Linked DNA regions of Saccharomyces cerevisiae S288C. The gene in region 4 interacts genetically with the main gene of each other region. Each region holds a gene or a part of one and is shown on either strand. Other genes may lie near its edges.

Evidence for each region.
Region 1: mutations in TKL1 (region 4) and URE2 together harm fitness more than expected from each alone (negative genetic interaction), as found in Saccharomyces cerevisiae (2 studies listed by BioGRID).
Region 2: mutations in TKL1 (region 4) and MET30 together harm fitness more than expected from each alone (negative genetic interaction), as found in Saccharomyces cerevisiae (2 studies listed by BioGRID).
Region 3: mutations in TKL1 (region 4) and DAL81 together harm fitness more than expected from each alone (negative genetic interaction), as found in Saccharomyces cerevisiae (2 studies listed by BioGRID).

The regions. Positions count from the first base shown.
Region 1 is NC_001146.8:218,572-221,730, reverse strand, and holds URE2 (glutathione peroxidase), read left to right. Parts: upstream 1-1,529; coding exon 1,530-2,594; downstream 2,595-3,159. Other genes in the region: JJJ1 (Jjj1p), read left to right, coding at 1-1,072; ELA1 (elongin A), read left to right, coding at 3,069-3,159. UniProt on the Saccharomyces cerevisiae protein: Plays an important role in nitrogen catabolite repression. Down-regulates the expression of many genes involved in nitrogen utilization by inhibiting the GATA transcriptional activators GLN3 and GAT1.
Region 2 is NC_001141.2:266,871-271,106, forward strand, and holds MET30 (ubiquitin-binding SDF ubiquitin ligase complex subunit MET30), read left to right. Parts: upstream 1-1,780; coding exon 1,781-3,703; downstream 3,704-4,236. Other genes in the region: SYG1 (Syg1p), read right to left, coding at 1-953; YIL046W-A (uncharacterized protein), read left to right, coding at 1,439-1,603. UniProt on the Saccharomyces cerevisiae protein: Substrate-recognition component of the SCF(Met30) complex, an E3 ubiquitin ligase complex that mediates the ubiquitination and subsequent proteasomal degradation of target proteins. Negatively regulates sulfur amino acids biosynthesis genes expression.
Region 3 is NC_001141.2:398,186-403,231, forward strand, and holds DAL81 (Dal81p), read left to right. Parts: upstream 1-1,591; coding exon 1,592-4,504; downstream 4,505-5,046. Other genes in the region: MRS1 (Mrs1p), read left to right, coding at 1-200; YIR021W-A (uncharacterized protein), read left to right, coding at 329-541; signal peptidase complex catalytic subunit SEC11, read left to right, coding at 548-1,051; INA22 (Ina22p), read right to left, coding at 4,656-5,046. UniProt on the Saccharomyces cerevisiae protein: Positive regulation of genes required for catabolism of GABA (UGA4, UGA1, and UGA2), urea (DUR1 and DUR2), arginine and allantoin.
Region 4 is NC_001148.4:692,247-696,404, reverse strand, and holds TKL1 (transketolase TKL1), read left to right. Parts: upstream 1-1,566; coding exon 1,567-3,609; downstream 3,610-4,158. Other genes in the region: OPY2 (Opy2p), read left to right, coding at 1-668; tyrosine protein phosphatase LTP1, read left to right, coding at 3,987-4,158. UniProt on the Saccharomyces cerevisiae protein: Catalyzes the transfer of a two-carbon ketol group from a ketose donor to an aldose acceptor, via a covalent intermediate with the cofactor thiamine pyrophosphate.

The DNA.
Region 1 (3,159 bases), on a different chromosome or scaffold from region 4:
TAGGCAACAAGCTCGAAATGAATACAACAAAACCGTGAAAAGGTTTGTAGTTTTCATAAAAAAGCTCGATAAAAGAATGAAAGAAGGTGCAAAAATTGCAGAAGAACAGCGTAAACTAAAAGAACAACAGAGGAAAAATGAGTTAAATAACAGAAGAAAGTTTGGGAACGACAACAATGACGAAGAAAAATTTCATTTACAAAGCTGGCAAACGGTAAAAGAAGAAAACTGGGATGAACTGGAAAAGGTATATGATAATTTTGGAGAATTCGAAAATTCTAAGAATGATAAGGAAGGTGAAGTATTGATTTACGAGTGTTTTATCTGCAACAAGACATTTAAGTCGGAAAAGCAATTGAAAAACCACATAAACACTAAACTGCATAAGAAAAATATGGAAGAGATACGGAAAGAAATGGAAGAGGAAAACATAACGCTTGGGTTGGATAATCTCTCCGATCTCGAGAAATTTGATTCAGCAGATGAAAGTGTTAAAGAAAAAGAAGATATTGATCTGCAAGCATTGCAAGCTGAACTCGCTGAAATTGAAAGAAAACTGGCAGAATCGTCTTCTGAAGACGAAAGTGAAGATGACAATCTCAACATAGAAATGGATATAGAGGTAGAAGACGTCAGTTCGGATGAAAATGTACATGTGAATACGAAGAATAAAAAGAAAAGAAAAAAGAAAAAAAAAGCAAAGGTTGACACAGAAACAGAGGAATCTGAATCGTTCGATGATACTAAAGACAAACGGAGTAATGAGTTGGATGATCTTTTGGCATCACTAGGAGACAAGGGCTTACAAACGGATGACGATGAAGATTGGTCTACTAAAGCGAAAAAGAAAAAGGGCAAACAACCTAAAAAGAATTCTAAATCCACAAAAAGCACTCCGTCCTTGTCGACTCTACCGTCCTCTATGTCTCCAACCTCCGCGATCGAGGTGTGCACTACATGCGGAGAATCATTTGATAGTCGAAATAAGCTATTCAACCACGTGAAGATAGCAGGGCATGCGGCAGTGAAAAACGTAGTGAAAAGAAAGAAAGTCAAGACCAAAAGAATATAGTGACACCAAACCATAGAACGCCGAAACAGAAATTATTAGTAGAGCTGTGTAGAGTTTAATTTAACTGTAGTCAATGTGGAAAATGAATACCGACTGTTGTCTGGAATAACAACATTAATCCGGGTGACGCAGCCTGGAATTTTTTTTTCAATTCTCGCCGAATAGGAGGATTGATGAGCTGCCACTATTGAATTTTTGAGGAAGAGTGGCTTCAGCATGTAGTTTTCCTTTCTACTAGGCCAGAAAAGCAACTATACAAAGACGAAAGCTTCCTTACTCGAGGTTGAAAAGAATAGCAAAAATCTTTCCTTTTCAAACAGCTCATTTGGAATTGTTTATAGCACTGAATTGAATCGAAGAGGAATAAAGATCCCCCGTACGAACTTCTTTATTTTTAGTTTTTCATTTTTTGTTATTAGTCATATTGTTTTAAGCTGCAAATTAAGTTGTACACCAAATGATGAATAACAACGGCAACCAAGTGTCGAATCTCTCCAATGCGCTCCGTCAAGTAAACATAGGAAACAGGAACAGTAATACAACCACCGATCAAAGTAATATAAATTTTGAATTTTCAACAGGTGTAAATAATAATAATAATAACAATAGCAGTAGTAATAACAATAATGTTCAAAACAATAACAGCGGCCGCAATGGTAGCCAAAATAATGATAACGAGAATAATATCAAGAATACCTTAGAACAACATCGACAACAACAACAGGCATTTTCGGATATGAGTCACGTGGAGTATTCCAGAATTACAAAATTTTTTCAAGAACAACCACTGGAGGGATATACCCTTTTCTCTCACAGGTCTGCGCCTAATGGATTCAAAGTTGCTATAGTACTAAGTGAACTTGGATTTCATTATAACACAATCTTCCTAGATTTCAATCTTGGCGAACATAGGGCCCCCGAATTTGTGTCTGTGAACCCTAATGCAAGAGTTCCAGCTTTAATCGATCATGGTATGGACAACTTGTCTATTTGGGAATCAGGGGCGATTTTATTACATTTGGTAAATAAATATTACAAAGAGACTGGTAATCCATTACTCTGGTCCGATGATTTAGCTGACCAATCACAAATCAACGCATGGTTGTTCTTCCAAACGTCAGGGCATGCGCCAATGATTGGACAAGCTTTACATTTCAGATACTTCCATTCACAAAAGATAGCAAGTGCTGTAGAAAGATATACGGATGAGGTTAGAAGAGTTTACGGTGTAGTGGAGATGGCCTTGGCTGAACGTAGAGAAGCGCTGGTGATGGAATTAGACACGGAAAATGCGGCTGCATACTCAGCTGGTACAACACCAATGTCACAAAGTCGTTTCTTTGATTATCCCGTATGGCTTGTAGGAGATAAATTAACTATAGCAGATTTGGCCTTTGTCCCATGGAATAATGTCGTGGATAGAATTGGCATTAATATCAAAATTGAATTTCCAGAAGTTTACAAATGGACGAAGCATATGATGAGAAGACCCGCGGTCATCAAGGCATTGCGTGGTGAATGAAGGCTGCTTTAAAAACAAGAAAGAAAGAAGAAGGAGGAAAAGAAGGTTATAAGGGTATGTATATAGGCAGACAAAAAGGAAAATTAAGTGCAAATATAAACAAAAATGTCATAGAAGTATATAATAGTTTTGAAATTTCTGTTGCTTCTATTTATTCTTTGTTACCCCAACCACAGAATTCCAAAATTTTGTTTTATGTAATAATTGAAATACTATAAATTTCTCAACTATATTCGGGGTGTTGTCACTGTATATCTGGCGCTTTCAATAAAGCTGGTACAATTGCGTATTTTTCTCGGCATTTGCCACGATGGGCTTAAGAAAGATCACAATAGAAAATTTCAAATATTTAATATTTGCGAAGAAGGGATTTGTTCAGTTATGACGATTAGATACATATGTAACTTACATGCAAACGGTTTTTGTTCATGGAAATACGTTCTAGTGAATGTATAAATCGATTGATGTCGAGATATGAAAAGTTTACAAACACTATGTGAAATCTCATTGATGAGAAATCATTCAAACATACAATCTGTGAGTAATGTCCCCTATCACTTATTAA
Region 2 (4,236 bases), on a different chromosome or scaffold from region 4:
TTGGCATCCGCGTGCTTGAAAAGGGTGTAGTGGGTCCTGGCGTACGACATGAACGTGGTCAGCTCTCTTGTGTGACACGTTTTGTCGAATTTCTTGACCATTTTACGGAACCCGGTGACGTTGATATCCCGGAACGATTTGACCAATTGCAAGTACAGATAGTACTCGATTATAGCGTTGCTTAACAAGTTTCTAGCCTGGGTTGTCGTCATAGTCTCCAGAAAAGAAGCGCCAAAAGCAAACGTCTCGCGGCCTCTTGAGGACGCATCCTGTCTCAAGTCCTGTAGCAGAGAAAATCCACGTTTGGGCCACGATGGCAGCAGCCTATTGTCCTTAAGAACTTTCTGACAGTACGCTAGCAGCGACAAACGCGGCTTCTTGGCCTCTTTGGTGCAGGGCATTGACCCATACATAACAGACCGGCTATCGCTGTCGATGCTATTGACCCTGGAGTCAGAACGACCAGCAAGCCCTGCCGCATATAGACTCGTGGACATGTCAACATTCGAACTAGACCGGTTCAAGTTGTCGCGCTCATAATTCTTCTGCAGCGAGTAATAGTGCAGTTGCGACTGTAAAACCTCAAACTTCTTGTCGCACTCCTTTAGCAACCAAAGGTAAAACTCGTTACACTTACTCAACTGGAACGAGATCAACCAGTCTTCAATGAAGTCAGCAACGAACTCCCTCTGCAAAGCAGAATAGTCCTTCTTGAACGCAGGTCCGGAGCGATAGTCTCCGTCGCTGCGACTTTTGCCGGGCTCTCTCTGCTGAAATGCAGTCTGGTATACCGACACAGAGGGCATCCAGCTCCGGTAGGAGCTGGATTGCTCTTCTTCGGCATCCAGCTTCTCCTTGTAGCGGCGAAGCTTCTTCTTGCCGACCTTATAATCAATATATTTGTCCCTCCATTCCGGGATGGCAGACTCGGTTAGATGGTCAGCAAACTTCATCTGATACGGTGCTATGGTAAAGCCCTTCCATTGCTGCCAACTGAATTAAAAAAAAAAAAAAAATAACTACCAACCATCAAATCAAACAAAACAAAACAAAAAAGCAAAGGAGAAAACCCATCTTGTACATGTACAGTCCCAAACTGTTGCGAAACCGTGCGATGATGTTCATGGAACTTGCGTCAAATAAAACCGCATCCCGTCCCACGTGACAAACGGCACCCAAAATCCGTTCTAGAAATGCCTCACACCCACACCGATGATGGGCTTCCGACTCGATGACTACCAACACATAGCCAGCCGCAGCGGCTGGCAGCATGTGCATGATAATGATAAGTGATGATGAATGATGGTGATAACGATTTTGAACAAATGGCTGCAGCGATAGCAACTAAGGGGATGGAAAGACAGATCTGGGAGAGATAACTGCAGGGTGTGGCACGGCAACACAAGGCTATTGTATTGCACTAAACGGGCAAGAAGCCATGATGTGCGTCTGTATCCCAAAAAAAAAACTAATGGATTGGCGCGTGTACTATATATATTCATATGTCGTGTGTTTGTATATGTGTGGGAGTGATTGTGCGTGTATATGTGTGTTGGCGTGTGTGGTACAATGTGTGTGTTTTAATGTAGAAATGAGGTTGTAGCACGTGATCGGGAAGCCACAGTTTGCGCGGAGATATTTTATTTTTTTTCATCAGCGTAAGAAGAAAGCAACCTTGCAGTCTGTATCGTAAGAGAAGACTGCAGTTAAAGAAGTTTAGAGAAGAGGCTTGAGTATCGGTAAAGGGGTGTGTGTTTGGTGATTTATAAAGGAGAAGGGCATGAGGAGAGAGAGGCAAAGGATGATGAGTTTCGAGGACAAGGACAAGGACGACCTTGACAATAGTAATAGTAATAACAGCAGTGAAATGACAGATACGGCGATGATGCCACCATTAAAGAGATTGCTTATTACGGGCAGTAGCGATGATTTGGCACAAGGATCATCGGGTAAGAAGAAGATGACGATGGCGACGAGGTCGCCATCGTCATCACCCGATTTGGCGACAAACGACAGCGGCACTAGGGTACAGCCATTGCCAGAATATAACTTCACCAAGTTCTGCTATCGGCATAACCCGGACATTCAGTTCTCACCAACTCATACAGCGTGCTACAAGCAGGATTTGAAACGAACGCAAGAGATTAATGCTAATATCGCGAAGCTACCCCTGCAGGAGCAATCCGACATCCACCACATTATCTCGAAGTACAGCAATTCCAATGACAAGATACGGAAGCTGATTCTGGATGGGATCCTATCGACGAGTTGCTTCCCACAGCTTTCCTACATTTCGTCACTCGTTACACACATGATCAAGATCGACTTCATCAGCATTCTGCCGCAGGAGCTGTCGCTGAAGATCTTGAGTTATCTGGATTGCCAATCTCTTTGCAACGCCACGAGAGTGTGCCGCAAGTGGCAGAAGCTCGCGGATGACGACAGGGTATGGTACCACATGTGCGAGCAGCACATAGACAGGAAATGTCCCAACTGTGGCTGGGGGCTGCCTCTTTTGCACATGAAACGTGCGCGGATACAACAGAATAGTACAGGATCTAGCAGCAACGCAGATATCCAGACGCAAACTACGCGACCTTGGAAAGTCATCTACAGAGAACGGTTCAAAGTGGAGTCAAACTGGAGAAAGGGCCACTGCAGGATTCAGGAATTCAAGGGCCACATGGATGGTGTGTTAACGCTCCAGTTTAACTACAGGCTTTTGTTCACAGGCTCGTACGACTCCACCATAGGTATATGGGACTTATTCACGGGGAAGCTAATACGAAGGCTCAGCGGCCATTCGGACGGCGTCAAGACATTATATTTTGACGATAGAAAGCTGATTACGGGCTCGCTCGACAAGACGATCCGTGTTTGGAACTACATAACCGGTGAATGCATTTCCACGTATCGAGGCCACTCGGATAGCGTTCTGAGCGTAGATTCATACCAGAAGGTTATCGTTTCCGGCAGTGCTGACAAGACGGTCAAGGTATGGCACGTGGAGTCCAGGACATGCTACACCTTGAGAGGCCACACGGAATGGGTTAATTGCGTCAAATTGCATCCGAAAAGCTTTTCATGTTTTAGTTGCAGTGACGATACCACAATCCGAATGTGGGATATCAGGACCAATTCATGCCTAAAAGTGTTCAGGGGTCATGTAGGGCAGGTGCAAAAGATCATACCGCTTACCATTAAGGATGTAGAGAATCTAGCCACCGACAACACTTCTGATGGCAGCTCTCCGCAGGATGACCCAACAATGACTGATGGTGCAGACGAATCAGACACACCGTCGAACGAGCAAGAAACTGTCTTAGATGAAAACATACCTTATCCAACACATCTACTATCTTGCGGACTGGATAACACAATCAAACTATGGGACGTCAAAACCGGTAAATGCATAAGAACACAGTTTGGGCACGTGGAAGGTGTTTGGGACATCGCCGCTGACAACTTCAGAATTATAAGTGGTTCTCACGACGGAAGCATTAAGGTCTGGGACTTGCAAAGCGGGAAGTGTATGCACACGTTCAACGGTCGAAGACTACAAAGAGAAACTCAGCACACACAAACACAATCCTTGGGTGATAAAGTCGCCCCTATCGCTTGTGTTTGTATTGGAGATTCAGAATGCTTTAGTGGTGATGAATTTGGGTGCGTAAAAATGTACAAATTCGATCTCAATGATTAGGACCTGTGTGTGGTCTTTTCTTGGTCAAAAACATCCGTAGTACCTCGAATATATATGCTTACATATATAATGAAAAATACATAATAGCATTTTACATTTATTTTATTTCCAGGAAAAAAATAAATCGCTAGCGTATCACTAGCCTTTTCCATCTTCAGTTTTTTTCCTTCCTCTTTTTCGTCTCGATAAAACTCTTGACCATTAGATGCTATTACTCCCCCACGGAGCCCTTCCCACGCTAAGGGGGATGTCAAGGGGGGGACTGAAGATAAAGCTTATTATATTGACGGCGATGATGAAGAGGGCGTACGCATAAAATGTCGTACAAGATCCATAATCTGCAATATTGTTCCCTCAACAGTACTAATAAATCCAAAGGGCGAAGGTACTTTATTATATAAACGCGCACGGCCATTGTATATAAAGGCGATTACATAATAGAATACTTATCGATTCCGTAATCCTTGAAATATAGAATATACATAAAATAGACAAGAACCCAACAGTTGAGGCGCCAGCTTTGGTAATAGCTT
Region 3 (5,046 bases), on a different chromosome or scaffold from region 4:
CAGAGGTGTTTCTCGCTACTATGGAGTCGAGTAAAGTTCTTCGTACGTATAGCAACCTCGTTGACATTGTGATGAAGGACAATGGTAGGTTGGACTCAGGCGTCCTAAAGCAATTCAACGACTACGTTAAGCAAGAAAAGCTCAATCTACAACATTTTCAGGCCGGTTCCTCAAAGTTTCTCAAAGGCGCAAAGATATAATCCTCTTATATAGCATGTAAATAGAAAGTACGTAAAAAAAAGCTACTATTGACTTTATTCTCCGTGAGGGCGGTTCTTTCTGTAGCTGTTGGTTTTTTCCAGATCTTATGTGACACACCTGCACAACAATGTCATTCTCTGTCAGCTGCAAGACTCCCAAGACCACGAAGCTGCTGGTATCTTCTATTTCAGAGAGCGCTGTTGCTCTTATTATTATTACCATACGTATACTTTTTTCCATTGGCAAAAGCGATTTCAAAAAAATAATCTCCAAGGAAATAAATGGTGCAGAAACAATATACTACAGAAATATACCGGAAAGTAAACCCCAAGGGAGTTAGCACAAGATGAATCTAAGATTTGAATTGCAGAAACTATTGAACGTTTGCTTTTTGTTTGCATCTGCTTACATGTTCTGGCAAGGCTTAGCCATTGCTACTAATAGCGCTTCTCCGATCGTGGTGGTGCTTTCAGGCTCCATGGAACCAGCTTTCCAAAGGGGTGATATCCTTTTCCTATGGAATAGAAATACTTTCAACCAAGTAGGTGATGTCGTGGTGTATGAGGTCGAAGGGAAACAAATCCCCATTGTGCATAGAGTTTTGAGGCAACATAACAATCACGCGGACAAGCAATTCCTCCTGACCAAAGGTGACAATAACGCCGGCAATGATATCTCACTATATGCTAATAAGAAAATTTACTTGAACAAGTCAAAGGAGATTGTAGGGACCGTCAAGGGCTACTTTCCACAACTAGGGTACATTACGATTTGGATTAGCGAGAACAAATATGCCAAGTTTGCATTGTTAGGTATGTTGGGGTTGAGTGCTCTGCTGGGGGGCGAGTAGTTCGCCAAGTTTTTTTGGAACGATGTTTACGTACTTTGTATTTGTGCTTATGGTCTTTAACTTGTTTAATTATATAACCATAACCATTCGGTCCACGCTGAAAACAAAATATTGTCTTAGGACACGCTTTGAGAATTATTGAAAAAGGAGCTCCCACAGTGATGTAGGCAATTCAACAGAGATGATTTGTGTCATTTTTTATAAGGTGATACCGTCGCTCATTAACTCGATATCTTGAAAAGGCATATGTGTCGGTAATTGAGACCGCTAGGTTTAACTTCTCGAATAAAAAATGGTCTAAGCTGCATAAGCATATAGAATTGTACAATCAGTGTATAGGTAGAGCAGAAGCAGTCCAAGATTCGAGCTAATAATACTCATATAATATCCATCGCGATGGGTATTATATGAAACATAACAATCGTACATGGTGATTGAAAATAATAGATGATAAGAATCATTTTCAAATAATAGTGTAGATCTTAAAAACTCTTGGCCTGTTTAGACGAGCGGCAGAACGACAGGCAGCCATACTATCAAATGGACCCTCACCAATCACCAGCTGATAATGCCGCATCGCCTACGAAGAGCGTGAAGGCAACCACTAAAAATTCGTCCACGAATAATAATGTCAATAGCAACAACAGCAATAATAACAGTAACCATGATATACTGAATTTTAATGATAACTATACTACCATTCTGCAACATTTGGCAAACGACCATCCTAATATACTGAGGGAGAAAGGAGGATCACAACAACAACAGCATCAGCAGCAGCAACAACAGCAACAACAGCAGCAACAACAGCAGCAACAACAGAGCCTGGATACCCTTTTGCACCATTATCAAAGTTTACTCTCCAAGAGTGATAATGCAATAGCCTTTGATGACAATGTTAGTAACAGCGCAGATCATAATGGCAGTAATAGCAACAATAATAACAACAATAATGACATATCTAGTCCCGGTAATCTGATGGGATCTTGCAATCAATGTAGATTAAAGAAAACAAAGTGCAACTATTTTCCCGACCTAGGCAACTGTCTCGAATGTGAAACGTCAAGAACTAAATGCACCTTCAGTATTGCTCCAAATTATTTGAAAAGAACGTCCTCTGGGGCAAACAATAACATGCCAACCTCTTCAAACTCCAAACGAATGAAAAATTTTGAAGACTATTCGAATCGCTTACCCAGTAGCATGCTCTATAGACATCAACAGCAGCAGCAACAGCAACAGCAGCAACAGCGTATACAATACCCCAGATCCTCTTTTTTCGTCGGTCCGGCCTCAGTTTTCGATTTGAACTTGACCAAGCATGTAAGACTAGATAATGTTGACCAAATACAGCTATCAAAAACTTTATCATTAAGAAAGGTGTCTCCTACCGCACAGTTTATTCTTCAGGACGATTTTGACACGACCCTTCATAGTAAGCAAGAATACGAAGTTGATTTGGTCGAAAATCTGGTACATCCGCACGGTCACCTTTTAGTAGAGATTTTCTTCAAATTGATTCATCCTTTTCTTCCAATTTTACACGAACGTGTATTTTTGGAAAAGTATTCTAGATCTTATAGAGAACTCACTGCGCCTTTACTGGCATCCATTTACTCACTGGCATTACAATATTGGGATTTTCATCCTGCACTTTTGGGGTTCCCTAAACCCGATGTAACTGCTCAACTAAACAATATCGCATTGGAAACATTTTATGCTCGAGTTGGAAGGCCAAAATTGAGCATTATACAAACAGGCCTTTTGATTTTGCAATGCCGTAGTGAATGTCATAACAACTGGGTCCTCTGCTCCAGCGTAGTGGCCCTTGCAGAGGAATTGGGGCTCGGGGTTGAATGTAATGATTGGAAACTTCCCAAATGGGAAAAAGATTTGAGAAAGAGATTAGCGTGGGCAGTTTGGTTGATGGATAAATGGTGTGCATTAAACGAAGGTAGACAATCCCATTTAATTTTAGGTAGGAACTGGATGATCAAGCTATTAAACTTTGATGATTTTCCTCTGAATTCGCCCACTATTTTAAATTCCTTGCAAAATGACCAGTCGGGGTCTTCACCCTCGTCATCAAATGATGTGAAAAACCATCAGATAGCATTTGGTAACTTGCCCATATTTAACATAAACCCCACTTTAGAAGATTTCAAGAATGGAACGCTTATGTTTCAACAAATGGTTTCCTTGAGTATAATTCTTGGGGAAATCATGGACACATTTTACACTCAGGGATCCATGACAATAAACAAAAGCATTGAACAGGTATTGAAACTGGCAAAGCCGTTGCAACTGAAATTAAGAGAATGGTACCATTCCCTACCCAAGAATTTGTCAATGAGTTATGCCACGCCACAAAAATTGAACTCAAATTCAACTTTAACTCTAGCTTATTTTGCCACGGAAATTACGTTACATAGGAAAATTATCTGTGCCTTGAATCCTCAAACTCCAAAGGAACTGGTTCAAGTATGCAGGACTGCTGCAAGAACCAGGCTTGTAGCAGCAATTGAATTTATAAGAGATCTAAAAAACGAACATATTAATGCTTTTTGGTATAACTGCTCAACTGGAAATCTGATGCTAATTGGAACATTTGCTGCCCTGCTGTATGTGACTTCAGCTACGAAGGAAGAGGCTATGATTTTCAGAGATTATGTTAGAAATTATACCTGGGTATTGAAGATAGGTTCCAAATACTTTGATAAACTATCGAATGCTTTGAATAATATGCATTTACTATTTGCACAAATTCCTGGTCTTCTGACCGATGAACCGGTGGTCGTGAGCCCTAACTCTAACATCAATTCCGTTAACCCACAAAGGTCAGGTGTACAATCGCAAATCCCAATACAATTTAACGTGGGATCACCTGCCATGACCGAGCAAGGATCTCCTTTAAACCAGTGGAAGAATTTGCCCCAGGAAATCTTGCAACAACTAAACTCCTTTCCCAACGGTACGACCAGTACAACAACGCCAGTAAACCCCACTTCCAGACAAACACAACTAGAATCGCAGGGAAGTCCAGCCATAAATAGTGCTAATAATAATAGCAACAACACGCCTTTACCATTTGCGCCAAATAAGTCTTCTAAAAAAACTTCACAATCTTCACCAAATGTTACGCCCTCTCATATGAGCAGACACCCCCCCTCTAATACATCTTCACCAAGAGTCAATTCCAGCACAAATGTCAACTCTAATACACAAATGAATGCTTCTCCCTTGACCTCAATTAACGAAACCAGACAAGAGTCAGGTGACGCTGCAGATGAAAAAACAGCAGGAAGAGAAAGAACCGCCAACGAGGAATCATCAACGGAACTCAAGGACGATAATCCAAACTCGAACCAGGAAACAAGCGCAACTGGTAACCAAACTATAAAAATGAATGATGATAAAAATGTAACAATTAACACAAGGGAAACCCCTCTGTAATATAAATAATAGCACATAAGTAAAAATGGAATACGGTAATAACTATATAGAAATATCTTCTGCAGGACCAAGGTTACTGAGTGGTGAATGTAAAATTATTTATTCGCTTGCGTTATATTTACATGTGGTATATCCGGATGCATAGAGCCTACTATAGAAATTTTGGGATTTTATCATGTTCTTTGGCGATTTCATTCAAATCACCTGGTTGGTTCATCATCATATGGACATCACCACTTAGGTAAACCTTTTCATCTTCTTTTTTCGACTTTTCTAAATCTTTTAGAACATTCAAATCAGTGACAATCCCTTCTTTGTTCTTAACGCCAGCATCTGGAGTTTTTTCGATTACTTCTTTTTTTGCCTCGTCTATTATACTTTGCCAGATCTCTTCCAATGACTCTTCCTTAGGAACCACAATATCAGTCTCATCTTCCTTCATCCCAGTTGCGTTCTTGCCGACGATTCCTAAACGCAAATTCACAAGTTTCAATTCATCATCTGCGTCGAAGTCTACCTTTCCATTATTATCATGAACCCTC
Region 4 (4,158 bases):
ACGGGAATGAAGAGGAATACTTCGACGATGAAGACGATGATGATGAAGACGATGAGGATGATGGCGGTATGAGAAAAGATGAAAGTCACACCCTGTTCAATACGTCACTGGTACCTCCAACTCTCAACGTGCCGGGAAACAGAAGTTCAGCATCTACCACTCGTACAAGGGCTTCTAATATTTTGCCTATTGCCTACATTCCTGGTGTGACAAGCGGTTTGAGTACCGACAAACTGCAATCAAAACTACGCTCGAGCTCTAAGAGACAAAATGCAGCTGGTGATATCAGGTCACATATAACCTTAGGTTCTTCCATCTTGGATGGTCTGGATGACGAAGATGACGAGCATAACCAGGTACTCAATAAGGACGCAGACGATAACCTCATAACTGCTATTCGTGCTAAACCTAAACTGGTTCAAATCGCAGAGGAAGAGAGTGATAAGGAGATTCAGGACTTGGATGTCATTGAAGAACAGACAGAGGCGGATGATCTTTCACACATGGCAAAAAGCGAGGCAAGCCATGGTAATAACGACGAAGATGACGATGAAGAAGGAAGTTTTATACTGGACTTGGAAATTCCAGAATCGATACGCGAGAGCACCCAGGGCAGTCGCACTGAGAGCCCGTTTGAGGACAAGTTCGAAATACACGATGAACGATAAATAAAAGGCGTGTCAGTATTCTGCAATCCCGGGGAAAATATTATATCATATCAATATTCAATGATCTACGTCTATATAGTTACGTGTATACGCCGTAATAAGCGCTTTTTTTTTTTTTTTAATTTTCTGACTACTGTTCAGCCATCAAGGTATGTCTAAATTAATAATATTCAGCATTTTCAACGTGCGCTTACCATCTGCTAATACACAGCTCCTCTGAAAGTTTCTTGGCCGAATGTCATAATTTTCGAACCAAATATAAAAATTCATACACATTAAAACAAGATGTGCTTACAAAGCGGATAAGTTCCGCAGCAGCCAAAGCTGCATTGAGACATTTTTCGCATACACATCACTTCTCTGGGGAATGAAGCATCCGAAAACGCCAACGGGACTAAAATACAGCAAACTTGCATTTTGGTCATTTATGGTTAGCAAGTTTAAGTGCTACTACATTACATATTACCTGACCCTGAAAACGGGCTTAAAAGCCCATCTACTATAGTGCCGCTGCGGGTAACCGTAGCTTCTTGCTTTTTTTCCCACCGTCATTTATTTTCTAGTCTTCTTTCCGAGAAATGCCGGCGGCGTTTGCCGTTCCGTTCGCAATCTCTCGAGAAGTTCGAGAGATGAAAAATTTTCTTGGGAAAGCCAAGAAGGTACGATCGTAGGCATGATTCATATATAAACTCTTTCCCAATCTTTTTGGTTACGTACATACTCCCCCCTGATCTTTTACCTACATACTTGATCGTGACTTCTTGATTCATTCATTTCTTGTTCTCACCGTTGTCTTCCTTTTAAATTTCGTTTTTTAAGTTTCAGATCAAACTGAAGTACAACAGAGAAGGAAGCTCATCCCAAGCAACTCTACATAGTTACCTCTTTAGCAAACAAAATGACTCAATTCACTGACATTGATAAGCTAGCCGTCTCCACCATAAGAATTTTGGCTGTGGACACCGTATCCAAGGCCAACTCAGGTCACCCAGGTGCTCCATTGGGTATGGCACCAGCTGCACACGTTCTATGGAGTCAAATGCGCATGAACCCAACCAACCCAGACTGGATCAACAGAGATAGATTTGTCTTGTCTAACGGTCACGCGGTCGCTTTGTTGTATTCTATGCTACATTTGACTGGTTACGATCTGTCTATTGAAGACTTGAAACAGTTCAGACAGTTGGGTTCCAGAACACCAGGTCATCCTGAATTTGAGTTGCCAGGTGTTGAAGTTACTACCGGTCCATTAGGTCAAGGTATCTCCAACGCTGTTGGTATGGCCATGGCTCAAGCTAACCTGGCTGCCACTTACAACAAGCCGGGCTTTACCTTGTCTGACAACTACACCTATGTTTTCTTGGGTGACGGTTGTTTGCAAGAAGGTATTTCTTCAGAAGCTTCCTCCTTGGCTGGTCATTTGAAATTGGGTAACTTGATTGCCATCTACGATGACAACAAGATCACTATCGATGGTGCTACCAGTATCTCATTCGATGAAGATGTTGCTAAGAGATACGAAGCCTACGGTTGGGAAGTTTTGTACGTAGAAAATGGTAACGAAGATCTAGCCGGTATTGCCAAGGCTATTGCTCAAGCTAAGTTATCCAAGGACAAACCAACTTTGATCAAAATGACCACAACCATTGGTTACGGTTCCTTGCATGCCGGCTCTCACTCTGTGCACGGTGCCCCATTGAAAGCAGATGATGTTAAACAACTAAAGAGCAAATTCGGTTTCAACCCAGACAAGTCCTTTGTTGTTCCACAAGAAGTTTACGACCACTACCAAAAGACAATTTTAAAGCCAGGTGTCGAAGCCAACAACAAGTGGAACAAGTTGTTCAGCGAATACCAAAAGAAATTCCCAGAATTAGGTGCTGAATTGGCTAGAAGATTGAGCGGCCAACTACCCGCAAATTGGGAATCTAAGTTGCCAACTTACACCGCCAAGGACTCTGCCGTGGCCACTAGAAAATTATCAGAAACTGTTCTTGAGGATGTTTACAATCAATTGCCAGAGTTGATTGGTGGTTCTGCCGATTTAACACCTTCTAACTTGACCAGATGGAAGGAAGCCCTTGACTTCCAACCTCCTTCTTCCGGTTCAGGTAACTACTCTGGTAGATACATTAGGTACGGTATTAGAGAACACGCTATGGGTGCCATAATGAACGGTATTTCAGCTTTCGGTGCCAACTACAAACCATACGGTGGTACTTTCTTGAACTTCGTTTCTTATGCTGCTGGTGCCGTTAGATTGTCCGCTTTGTCTGGCCACCCAGTTATTTGGGTTGCTACACATGACTCTATCGGTGTCGGTGAAGATGGTCCAACACATCAACCTATTGAAACTTTAGCACACTTCAGATCCCTACCAAACATTCAAGTTTGGAGACCAGCTGATGGTAACGAAGTTTCTGCCGCCTACAAGAACTCTTTAGAATCCAAGCATACTCCAAGTATCATTGCTTTGTCCAGACAAAACTTGCCACAATTGGAAGGTAGCTCTATTGAAAGCGCTTCTAAGGGTGGTTACGTACTACAAGATGTTGCTAACCCAGATATTATTTTAGTGGCTACTGGTTCCGAAGTGTCTTTGAGTGTTGAAGCTGCTAAGACTTTGGCCGCAAAGAACATCAAGGCTCGTGTTGTTTCTCTACCAGATTTCTTCACTTTTGACAAACAACCCCTAGAATACAGACTATCAGTCTTACCAGACAACGTTCCAATCATGTCTGTTGAAGTTTTGGCTACCACATGTTGGGGCAAATACGCTCATCAATCCTTCGGTATTGACAGATTTGGTGCCTCCGGTAAGGCACCAGAAGTCTTCAAGTTCTTCGGTTTCACCCCAGAAGGTGTTGCTGAAAGAGCTCAAAAGACCATTGCATTCTATAAGGGTGACAAGCTAATTTCTCCTTTGAAAAAAGCTTTCTAAATTCTGATCGTAGATCATCAGATTTGATATGATATTATTTGTGAAAAAATGAAATAAAACTTTATACAACTTAAATACAACTTTTTTTATAAACGATTAAGCAAAAAAATAGTTTCAAACTTTTAACAATATTCCAAACACTCAGTCCTTTTCCTTCTTATATTATAGGTGTACGTATTATAGAAAAATTTCAATGATTACTTTTTCTTTCTTTTTCCTTGTACCAGCACATGGCCGAGCTTGAATGTTAAACCCTTCGAGAGAATCACACCATTCAAGTATAAAGCCAATAAAGAATATAACTCCTAAAAGGCTAATTGAAACCCTGTGATTTTTGATAAGCGATAGAAAACTGAGAAGGGAAAGTTAACACGAAAATGACAATTGAAAAACCAAAAATATCGGTCGCATTCATTTGTTTGGGTAACTTCTGTAGATCACCAATGGCGGAAGCCATTTTCAAACATGAAGTCGAAAAGGCTAATCTAGAAAATCGATTCAACAAGATTGATTCATTTGGCACTTCTAATTATCATGTGGGGGAAAGCC